3 linked regions of the Macaca mulatta genome follow. The protein of the gene in region 3 interacts with the protein of the main gene of each other region in a pairwise test. Links are inferred from orthologs where the notes say so. Each region holds a gene or a part of one and is shown on either strand. Other genes may lie near its edges.

Evidence for each region.
Region 1: the proteins of melanoma-associated antigen 1 (region 3) and SELPLG interact in a two-hybrid assay, tested with the Homo sapiens proteins (2 studies listed by BioGRID). The two-hybrid records come from large-scale screens. The link is inferred for Macaca mulatta from reciprocal best matches to the Homo sapiens genes MAGEA1 and SELPLG.
Region 2: the proteins of melanoma-associated antigen 1 (region 3) and MIEF1 interact in binary tests that used the Homo sapiens proteins (3 or more experiments, as listed by UniProt). The two-hybrid records come from large-scale screens. The link is inferred for Macaca mulatta from reciprocal best matches to the Homo sapiens genes MAGEA1 and MIEF1.

The regions. Positions count from the first base shown.
Region 1 is NC_133416.1:115,765,498-115,769,244, reverse strand, and holds the start of SELPLG (P-selectin glycoprotein ligand 1), read left to right. Parts: upstream 1-1,104; 5' UTR 1,105-1,287; coding exon 1,288-1,330; intron 1,331-3,747. UniProt on the Homo sapiens protein: A SLe(x)-type proteoglycan, which through high affinity, calcium-dependent interactions with E-, P- and L-selectins, mediates rapid rolling of leukocytes over vascular surfaces during the initial steps in inflammation.
Region 2 is NC_133415.1:12,033,069-12,036,715, reverse strand, and holds part of MIEF1 (mitochondrial dynamics protein MIEF1), read left to right. Parts: exon of another isoform or gene 1-94; intron 95-3,113; 5' UTR 3,114-3,120; coding exon 3,121-3,264; exon of another isoform or gene 3,265-3,303; intron 3,304-3,483; exon of another isoform or gene 3,484-3,641; intron 3,642-3,647. UniProt on the Homo sapiens protein: Mitochondrial outer membrane protein which regulates mitochondrial fission/fusion dynamics.
Region 3 is NC_133426.1:159,459,653-159,463,133, reverse strand, and holds melanoma-associated antigen 1, read left to right. Parts: upstream 1-1,173; 5' UTR 1,174-1,227; coding exon 1,228-2,178; 3' UTR 2,179-2,891; downstream 2,892-3,481.

The sequences.
Region 1 (3,747 bases), on a different chromosome or scaffold from region 3:
GGATCACGAGGTCAGGAGATCGAGACCATCCTGGCTAACACAGTGAAACCCCGTCTCTACTAAAAAATACAAAAAAACTAGCCGGGCGAGGTGGCGGGCGCCTGTAGTCCCAGCTACTCGGGAGGCTGAGGCAGGAGAATGGCGTGAACCCGGGAGGCGGAGTTTGCAGTGAGCTGAGATCCGGCCACTGCACTCCAGCCTGGGCAACAGAGCAAGACTCCGTCTCAAAAAAAAAAAAAAAAAAGTGATTTTCAGAGAAAGATGCATTCTTCCCACTTTTTATAAGACTGAGAAAATGACACTTGTCTGTGGCAAACTATTAAAATATTAGAATTAGGATACTATTGTTAGCAAAAGGGAAAACAATAATAATACTTAGAATACTTGGCTGGGTGCAGTGGCTCACACCTGTAATCCCAGCACTTTGGGAGACCGAGGCAGGTGGATCGCCTGAGCTCAGGAGTTCGAGACCAAGCTGGGCAACATGGTGAAACCTCGTCTCTACCAAAAATACAAAACCTTAGCTAGGCATAGTGGTGTATGCCTGTGGTCTCAGCTACTTGGGAGGCTGAAGTGGGAGGATCACTTGAACCTGGGAGGGGGAGGTTGCAGTGAGCCAAGATTGTGCCACTGCACTCCAACCTGGGTGGCAGAGTGAGACCCCGTCTCAAAAAAAAAGAAAAAAAATTAGAATACTCTTATTAGTTTGTATTTGAGATACTTTCAGAACACTAAAAGGAAAAGGTGGGGGCTGGTTGCGCCCTGCTGTATACACATTCACACACACACCATAGTGTCTGTATCTGGGCTTCTGTTGCCTGGAATTCTCTTCCTCTTTCCTCTTTCTTCTGTTTTCCTTTTTTTTCCACCTCTGACTTTGAGGCCCCCAGAGCCAGGCCCTTCAGTGGGCCGGAGCTTCAGAAGGTGGCTCCAAGGCCCTCGGACGGCCCCAGAGTCTCTTCCTCTGGGGTTGCCTAGGGAGGCGGCACCCTGGGCGGTTGATGCCTCCCTCAAGAGGCTTGGCCAGCAGCCAGGGGAGTTAAACCTCAGCGGAAGGGCTGGGCTACCGGGCTGGGCCCAGAGCGGGGCATTCGGAGGAGCTGCAGAATCAATCATCTGAGAACCTTGGAGGGTGGATGGTGCCCCTTTTCCAGATGAGAAAACTGAGGCTCGCAGGGGAGAAGTAGCTGCCTCTGGCGGCGTGGCTTCTGGCTGCAGGATGCTCGTGGAGTTCGTGGTGACCCTAGGCCTGTGTCTCGATCTCCTTTGCTGAACTTGAACAGGAAGATGGCAGTGGGGGCCAGTGGTCTAGAAGGAGATAAGATGGCCGGTGTGTGTGTGTTGGGGGTCTGTGTTTGTTAATCTGTCTGTCTGCACAGGGGTCTTTAGAAAACTGTTTAAAGACAGTTGTTCAACTAACCACATGTAGGTCTCATTGAATTCATTTGTGCCAAGTACCTTACTGCCTCTGTGTCAGGCTAGCAAATTTGGGTTCCAACAGGTGTAACTTGGTTCTTGGCGGGCTGGAGGTGGGGGGAGTGGGGTGTAACAAAAAAATCTCTACTAACACTGTGGTTTGTAAGCCACCAAACGTTAAACAGATATACAGCATATCTGTGCTATTAACGTTTTGTGAGGAGGGCTGGTGACGGTGGCTCAGGCCTGTAAATCCTAGCACTTTGGGAGGCTGAAGCAGGTGGATTTCTTGAGCCCAGGAGTTTGACACCAACCTGGGCAACACGGTGAAAACCCATCTCTACAAAAAATTTAAAAGTAGCTGGGTCTGGTGGCACGCACCTGTAGTCCTAGCTACTTGGAGGATCGCTTGAGTCCAGGAGTTCAAGGCTGCAGTGAGCTGTGATTGCACCACTGTACTCCAGCCTGGGCGACTGAGCCAGACCCTATCTCTAAAAGTAAATAAATAAATAAACATGTCGTGAGGGGGATGATAATTAGGGAAACCACGTCTACAGTGGCTCCCTGATGTGAGTTGGAGTAGATGATGGAAAGAGGTTGGAAGGTGTCAGCTGTCTAACGTGGTGTGAAAAGTCTGAAGACAGCACGTGCTGTGCAGTGCTATGCACGTCCCCCTGCCTCAGTCACATGTCCTCTTCTGCAGAGGCATTTAGTGAGGCCCCTGGGGATGCCAGGAGAGCTCCTGCCCTCCGAAAACTTCTGGTCTGGTGGGGGCAGCAGAGCAGACAGCCACTGTGGCTGCCAGCCACCGGGACAAGCATTTCGAGAGGTGTGTGCCTGCCTGTCGGCTAAATCCTGGGCCTGTGGCCTGATCAGCAAGACAGCTGTAGTTCTTGTATTCTGGAAGTTTAGGAGTCAATGTGAATACATTTTTAGAAAGTAAATGAACAGCAGAAATGATGTAAACACGGGAGGTGACTAATCATGCCTGGGGCAATCTGGAAAGGCTTCTGGGAGGACTTGGCATTTCCCTGGCCCTCTTCAACCCACAACAACTCCATAAAAAGCGGGGGCTACCGTTGTCCTTGTATTCCAGCTAAGGAACCCACAACTCAGAGAGGTGAGGTGAGTTGCCCAAGGTCACACAGCTTCTAAGGGACAGAGCTGGGATTGACCTGGTTTGATGTGACTCCAGGTCAGGGCAGGGCGAGGTGTGTCCTGTCTACCCAGACTCAGATCTGCTGCCTGTGCTTCAGTTATCTGGGGGCTTTCCTTCTCTTGGTGACTACTTGACCCAAACCCTGAGATGCTCAGTCTTTTGAATTTTAACATTCCAAGATCCTGCCTGCTCTGATTCCCAGTTTCAGGATTCTCAGTGCAAGGTTCCCAGCAACGTGGAGCCCCCCGAGGATCTTTCCTGAGTCGCTCAGGACGGCCACACGGCGGGGTCTCTGGAGCTGGAGTCTGGGCTCCCTGCAGCCCGCTCCTCCACACAGCCTAGATGCGGCCCACATGGGGTCTAGATGGCGCCTGGGCCAGAAGCAGCCTGGTTTTAGGGCCAAAGAGGCAAAACGAGCAGTCTCTGACCTACTCCGTTAGGCAGGTGTTGAGACAAGTAGGATGTGGCCACTGGAGACCCCTCTGTCGGGGCCCTGCCCTGGCCCTCTACTGTGGGACTGTTTTTTTTGCCTTCCGGCGAGAGGAGAGGTGGAAGGTGGGGCCTGGGAGCGACCCCGCCGCTCTGGGCCTTGCTTGCTGATCGGTGTGATGGCACCGTTAGAGCCAGCGGACACAGGCTGAGGAGGACCGAGGTCAGCAGCCAGTGAGACGAGGAAGTCATCCCTCCACGGGAGGGGCTTCTGCATATGCCATTTTTGTTGTTGTTTAATACATTTACTCTAGCAAATGTGAAGGAGGCGTTATGCTGCCTGCCACACACAGTAAGCAAACTCTGCTCCTCCCCGTTCTACCTGCGTGGCCTCAGCTGAGACAAGATCTCTCGGAGCCTCAGGTTTTCTTTTATTTCATTAAAAAAAATATGTCTTTTTTTTTTTTCTTAGAGACAGGGTCTTACTCTGTCACCCAGGCTGGAGTGCAGTGGTGTGATCATAGCTCACTGCAGCCTTGACCTGGGCTCAAGCCATCCTCTGCCCTCAGCCTCCTGAGTAGCTGGGATGACAGGCATGCACCAGCATACCTGACTAATGTTTAATTTTTTTGTAGAGACGGGGTCTCACTATGTTGCCCAGGCTGGTCTTGAACCCCTGGCTTCAAGTCATCCTCCTACCTTGGCCTTCCAAAGTGCTAGGAGTACAAGGTTGAGGCACCATG
Region 2 (3,647 bases), on a different chromosome or scaffold from region 3:
GTGCTCTTCCCTGACTCCACCTGTAAATACAAACGTTAACTCTTCTCCCTGGCCTTGCTCTGTACATTTGAGGTAAGAATGTACTTGGTTTGGCCAGATAGTCTCTCATGTCCCTAAACCTGAAGCTTCTGTTGACTGTAAATGGTAGAGAAAAGGAAAGTACCCCCAAGGTGTGAACTCTAGTTAGGGAAAAAATATTTTTGGGCTTGACAGTGACTCTTAGTTAACTCAATTGCTGGAATAATAGAGTCAGAAATATTTCTTTGTTTTTCAGGGAGGTAGAGGCAGGAGCATAATATGCGGAAGCTGGCAATACCCAGTTGTAACATGGTATTAGAAGGAATGTTATTTTACATGGAAGATAATCCCTAGTGATCCTTTTTTTTTTCCTCGAGACAAAGTCCTGCTCTGTCGCCCAGACTGGAGTGCAATGGCAATTCTCCTGCCTCGGCCACCATGCCTGGCTAATTTTTTGTATTTTTAGTAGAGACGGGGTTTCACTATGTTGGCCAGGCTGGTCTCGAACTTCTGACCTTGTGATCCACCCGCCTTGGCCTCTCAAAGTGCTGGGATTACAGGTGTGAGCCACCGCGCCCAGCGGATCCTGTCTCTTGATGTCCTCCCATTCTGGGACACTAAATGGTATCCGACTTTGGTTTCCCTTATGTCATTCCTGGTGTGAAGGATACGGGATATTATAGAGGAGAGTGGCAGGTATTCCAATCTGAACCACGCTGTCATCCTTGCCCCGGCTCAGGCCCAGGGTTCTAACTCCACGGGAATGGGCTTATCTGGGGACTGCTGCTGCTGCAGTCAGGAAGACTCCCCTCCAGCCGGGAGCAGCACTGGCCTGAGCACTGCGCTGGAGGCCAGCCTCTTCGCTGTGGTGCCCAAGTACTCCTTTCAGGTGACCACATTTTTAGTTCCTCTTCTAAGTGTAATCGAGCAGATGGGTGTTTTGTTTTCCAGTTAGCAGTCAAGTCTGCAGTGTCCTTTGTGTTTTTATCTCCCAGGATACCAGTCTCACCTAAGCTTTTTTTTTTTTTTTTTTGAGACAGAGTCTCGTTCTGTCGCCCAGGCTGGAGTGCAGTGGCCGGATCTCAGCTCACTGCAAGCTCCGCCTCCCGGGTTTACGCCATTCTCCTGCCTCAGCCTCCCGAGTAGCTGGGACTACAGGCGCCCGCCACCTCGCCCGGCTAGTTTTTTGTATTTTTTTAGTAGAGACGGGGTTTCACCGTGTTAGCCAGGATGGTCTCGATCTCCTGACCTCGTGATCCGCCCGTCTCGGCCTCCCAAAGTGCTGGGATTACAGGCTTGAGCCACCGCGCCCGGCCTCACCTAAGCTTTTATAGTCCCTGCTGCCCACTTTTCTCAAGAAACAAAGCATTTGTCAAGTAGGAGGGTCCATGGAGGGACCTTTCTCACATATGGATGTGTAGTTCCAGTTACATGTGCAGGGTGTTTGGTACATGTTGTTTTGTGTTTGGTTTGCAGAAAGTAGATAGAATAAGGGCCGATTTGATTTGGGTAAGGGTGAGCATGGTACAGTAGAAAAAGCATCATACAAGGAGTGGGGAGTCCTGAGTTCTGGAGATCATTGTGTCATTTCGTTTTTGTTTTTGAGGTGGAGTTTCGCTCTTGTTGCCCAGGCTAGAGTGCAATAGTGTGATCTTGGCTCACTGCAAAGGCCTTCCAGGTTCAAGGGATTCTTCTGCCTCGGCCTCCTGAGAAGCTGTGATTACAGGAGTGCGCCATCACATCCGGCTAATTTTGTATTTTTAGTAGTGACGGGGTTTCTCCATGTTGACTAGGCTTGTCTTGAACTGCTGACCTCAGGTGATCCGCTCACTTCGGCCTCCCAAAGTGCTGGGATTACAGGTGTGAGCCACCGTGCCCGGCCCATTTTGTTTTTTGTTTTTATTTTTAAGAGATGGGGACCCGCGTTATCACATTGGGAAGGGGTAGAGAGACCTGCGTTATCACATTGGGAAGGGGTAGAGAGACCTGCGTTATCACATTGGGAAGGGGTAGAGAGACCTGCATTATCACATTGGGAAGGGGTAGAGAGACCTGCGTTATCACCCCTGTGAAGGGGTAGAGAGACCCGCGTTATCACATTGGGAAGGGGTAGAGAGACCCGTGTTATCACATTGGGAAGGGGTAGAGAGACTTGCGTTATCACATTGGGAAGGGGTAGAGAGACCTGCGTTATCACATTGGGAAGGGGTAGAGAGACCTGCGTTATCACATTGGGAAGAGGTAGAGAGACCTGCGTTATCACATTGGGAAGGGGTAGAGAGACCTGCGTTATCACCCCTGTGAAGGGGTAGAGAGACCCGCGTTATCACATTGGGAAGGGGTAGAGAGACCCGTGTTACCACATTGGGAAGGGGTAGAGAGACCCGCGTTATCACATTGGGAAGGGGTAGAGAGACCTGCGTTATCACATTGGGAAGGGGTAGAGAGACCTGCGTTATCACATTGGGAAGGGGTAGAGAGACCCGCGTTATCACCCCTGTGAAGGGGTAGAGAGACCCGCGTTATCACATTGGGAAGGGGTAGAGAGACCCGCGTTATCACATTGGGAAGGGGTAGAGAGACCCGCGGTATCACATTGGGAAGGGGTAGAGAGACCCGCGTTATCACATTGGGAAGGGGTAGAGAGACCTGCGTTATCACATTGGGAAGGGGTAGAGAGACCTGCGTTATCACCCCTGTGAAGGGGTAGAGAGACCTGCGTTATCACATTGGGAAGGGGTAGAGAGACCTGCGTTATCACATTGGGAAGGGGTAGAGAGAGGGTTGTTTTGCATGTGGGGTACTTCATTGTAATATGAAAAAGGATTGACACTGAGCTTAATGTTTTCTTAATCTCACTAGCTTGGGGAAGGTTTTCCTACAGTACCCAGGATCCGTCTCTTCTCCTTGCATCCTGATCTATCATGGGACACTGTAGCTCCTTCTAGACCCTAAAGCATACAGTGCTGGAGGCAAGAGGATTTGGGTTGCTGGAACTCACAGAGTACCCTGTACTTGTTGGGGTTTGGGTTGTTGAGGGAGGGAGGTTCTTGGGGTCCCAGTACTTAACGGCCGTGTTCTATCTTCATTCTCAGATGAGCAATGGCAGGCGCTGGTGAGCGCAAAGGCAAGAAGGATGACAATGGCATTGGCACGGCCATTGACTTTGTGCTCTCCAATGCCCGGCTGGTGCTGGGGGTGGGTGGAGCAGCCATGCTGGGCATCGCCACGCTGGCAGTTAAGCGGGTAAGTGCATGCAGCCAGGGTTAGGGGTGGGATGTAGTGGTATGGTCATAACATGTAATATCTTATAGAAAGAAAATGTCGAGGCCGGGCGCGGTGGCTCAAGCCTGTAATCCCAGCACTTTGGGAGGCCGAGATGGGCGGATCACGAGGTCAGGAGATCGAGACCATCCTGGCTAACACAATGAAACCCCGTCTCCACTAAAAATACAAAAAAATTAGCCGGGCGTGGTGGCGGCGCCTGTAGTCCCAGCTACTCGGGAGGCTGAGGCAGAATGGCGGGAACCCGGGAGGCGGAGCTTGCAGTGAGCCGAGATCGCGCCACTGCACTCCAGCCTGGGCGACAGAGCAAGACTCCGCCTCAAAAAAAAAAAAGAAAATGTCGA
Region 3 (3,481 bases):
AGGCTATTGGAATCCTCACCCCAGAACCAAAGGGGTCAGCCCTGGACACTTCACCCAGGGTGTGGCATCTTCTTACTCCTGTTTCCAGATCTCAGAGAGGTGAGGACCTTGTTCTCAGAGGGTGACTCGGGTCAACATAGGGACCCCCATCTGGTCTAAAGACAGAGCAGTCCTACGATCTGCCATGCATTTGGGTGAGGAACATGAGGGAGGATTGAGGATACCCCAGGGCCAGAACACTGACAGAGACCGCACAGAAATCAGCTCTGCCCCTGCTGTCACCCCAGAGAGCATGGGCTGGGTCATCTGCCAAGGTCCCTCTCTTATCTTGGGATCATTGATGTCAGGGAGGGGGAGGCCTTGATCTGAGAAGGCTTCACTCACGTCAGTAGAGGGAGAGTCCCAGGCCCTGCCAGGAGTCAAGGTGAGGACCAAACAGGCGCCTCACCCAGGACACATTAATTCCAATGAATTTTGATATCTCTTGCTGTCCTTCCCCGAGGACCTAGGCCCGAGTGGCCAGATGTGGGTCCCCTCCTGTCTTTCTGTTCCTTATCATGGATGTGAGCTCTTTATTTGGATTTCTCAGACCAGCAAAAGGGTGGGATCCAGGTCCTGCCAGGAAAAATGCAAGGGCCCTGCGTGAGAACAGAGGGGATCATCCACCGCATGAGAGTGGGGATGTCACAGAGTCCAGCCCACCCTCCTAATAGCACTGAGGGCCCAGGGCTGTGCTTGCAGTCTGCACCCTGAGGGCCCGTGGATTCCTCTTCCAGGAGCTCCAAGAACCAGGCAGTGAGGCCTTGGTTTGAGACAGTGTCCTCAGATCACAGAGCAGAGGACGCACAGGCTGTGCCAGCAGTCAACGTTTGCCCTGAATGCACACCAAGGGCCCCGCCTGCCGCAGGACACATGGAACTCCACAGAGTCTGGCCTCACCTCCCTACCGTCAGTCCTGTAGAATCGACCTCTGCTGGCCGGCTGTACCCTGAGTGCCCTCTCACTTCCTCCTTCAGGTTTTCAGGGGACAGGCCAACCTGGAGGACAGGATTCCCTGGAGGCCACAGAGGAGCACCAAGGAGAAGATCTGTAAGTAGGCCTTTGTTAGAGTCTCCAAGGTTCAGTTCTCAGCTGAGGCCTCTCACACACTCCCTCTCTCTCCAGGCCCGTGGGTCTTCATTGCCCAGCTCCTGTACACTCCTGCCTGCTGCCCTGACCAGAGTCATCATGTCTCTTGAGCAGAGGAGTCTGCACTACAAGCCTGAGGAAGCCCTTGAGGCCCAACAAGAGGCCCTGGGGCTGGTGTGTGTGCAGGCTGCCGCCGCCTCCTCCTCTCCTCTGGTCCTGGGCACCCTGGAGGAGGTGCCTACTGCTGGGTCAACAGATCCCCCCCAGACTCCTCAGGGAGCCTCCGCCTTTCCCACTACCATCAACTTCCCTCGCTGGAGGCAACCCAATGAGAGTTCCAGCAGCCATGAAGAAGAGGGGCCAAGCACCTCGCGTGTCCTGGAGTCCTTGTTCCGAGCAGTACTCACTAAGAAGGTGGCTGATTTGGTTCGTTTTCTGCTCCTCAAGTATCGAGCCAGGGAGCCGGTCACAAAGGCAGAAATGCTGGAGAGAGTCATCAAAAATTACAAGCACTGCTTTCCTGTGATCTTCGGCAAAGCCTCTGAGTCCTTGCAACTGGTCTTTGGCATTGACGTGAAGGAAGCAGACTCCACCGGCCACTCCTATGTCCTTGTCACCTGCCTGGGGCTCTCCTATGACGGCCTGCTGGGTGATAATCAGATCATGCCCAAGACAGGCTTCCTGATAATCATCCTGGTTATGATTGCAATGGAGGGCGGCCGTGCTCCTGAGGAGGAAATCTGGGAAGAGCTGAATGTGATGGAGGTATATGATGGGAGGGAGCACAGTGCCTATGGGGAGCCCAGGAAGCTGCTCACCCAAGATTTGGTGCAGGAAAAGTACCTGGAGTACCGGCAGGTGCCCTACAGTGATCCTGCACGCTATGAGTTCCTGTGGGGTCCAAGGGCCCTCACTGAAACCAGCTATGTGAAAGTCCTTGAGTATGTGATCAAGGTCAGTGCAAGAGTTCGCTTTTTCTTCCCATCCCTGCGTGAAGCAGCTTTGAGACAGGAGGGAGCAGCTTTGAGAGAGGATGAAGAGGGAGTCTGAGCATGAGTTGCAGCCAAGGCCAGTGGGAGGGGGGCTGGGCTAGTGCACCTTCAAGGACCGTGTCCAGCAGCTTTCCCTGCCTCGTGTGATGTGAGGCCCATTCTTCACTCTGTTTGAAGAGAGCAGTCAGCATTCTCAGTAGTAGGTTTCTGTTCTATTGGATGACTTGGAGATTTATCTTTGTTCTCTTTTGGAATTGTTCAAGTGTTCCTTTTAAGGAATGGTTGAATGAACTTCAGCATCCAAGTTTATGAATGACAGTAGTCACACATAGTGCCGTGTATATAGTTGAGTAGTAAGAGTCTTGTGTTTCATTCAGATTGGGAAATCCATTCTATTTTGTGAATTGGGATAATAACAGCAGTGGAATAAGTATTTACTTAGAAATGTGAAAAATGAGCAGTAAAATAGATGAGATAAAGAACTAAAGAAATTAAGAGATAGTCAATTCTTTTTTTTTTTTTTTTTTTTTTTTTTTTTTTTTGAGACGGAGTCTCGCTCTGTCGCCCAGGCTGGAGTGCAGTGGCGCGATCTCGGCTCACTGCAAGCTCCGCCTCCCGGGTTCACGCCATTCTCCTGCCTCAGCCTCCTGAGTAGCTGGGACTACAGGCGCCCACAACCGCGCCCGGCTAATTTTTTGTATTTTTAGTAGAGACGGGGTTTCACCGTGGTCTCGATCTCCTGACCTTGTGATCCGCCCGCCTCGGCCCCCCAAAGTGCTGGGATTGCAGGCGTGAGCCACCGCGCCCGGCCGAGATAGTCAATTCTTGCCTTATACCTCAGTCTATTCTGTAACATTTTAAAAGATATATGCATACCTGGATTTCCTTGGCTGCTTTGAGAATGTAGGAGAAATTAAATCTGAATAAAGAATTCTTCCTGTTCACTGGCTCCTTTCTTCTCCATGCACTGAGCAGCTGCTTTTTGGAAGGCCCTGAGTTAGTAGTGGAGATGCTAAGGTAAGCCAGACTCATGCCTACCCATAGGGTTGTAGAGTCTAAGAGCTGCAGTCACGCAATCAAGGTGGCAAGATGTCCTCTGAAGATGTAGAGGAAAAGTAAGAGAGAGTGAGGGTGTGGGGCTCCAGGTGAGAGTGGTAGAGTGTAAATGTCCTGAGCTGGGGCATTTTGGGCTTTGGGAAACTGCAGTTCCTTCTGCGGGAGCTGATTGTAAGGATCCTGGGTGGATCCAGGGCCAGATTCTCAGACGGTGAGAGAAAAGCCTGAGTTGGAAAGCTGCTCTGAGGAGTTTCTTTTGGACGGTGGATAAACAGAGAGGAGTCTCCACCTAGGCAGGATTGGAA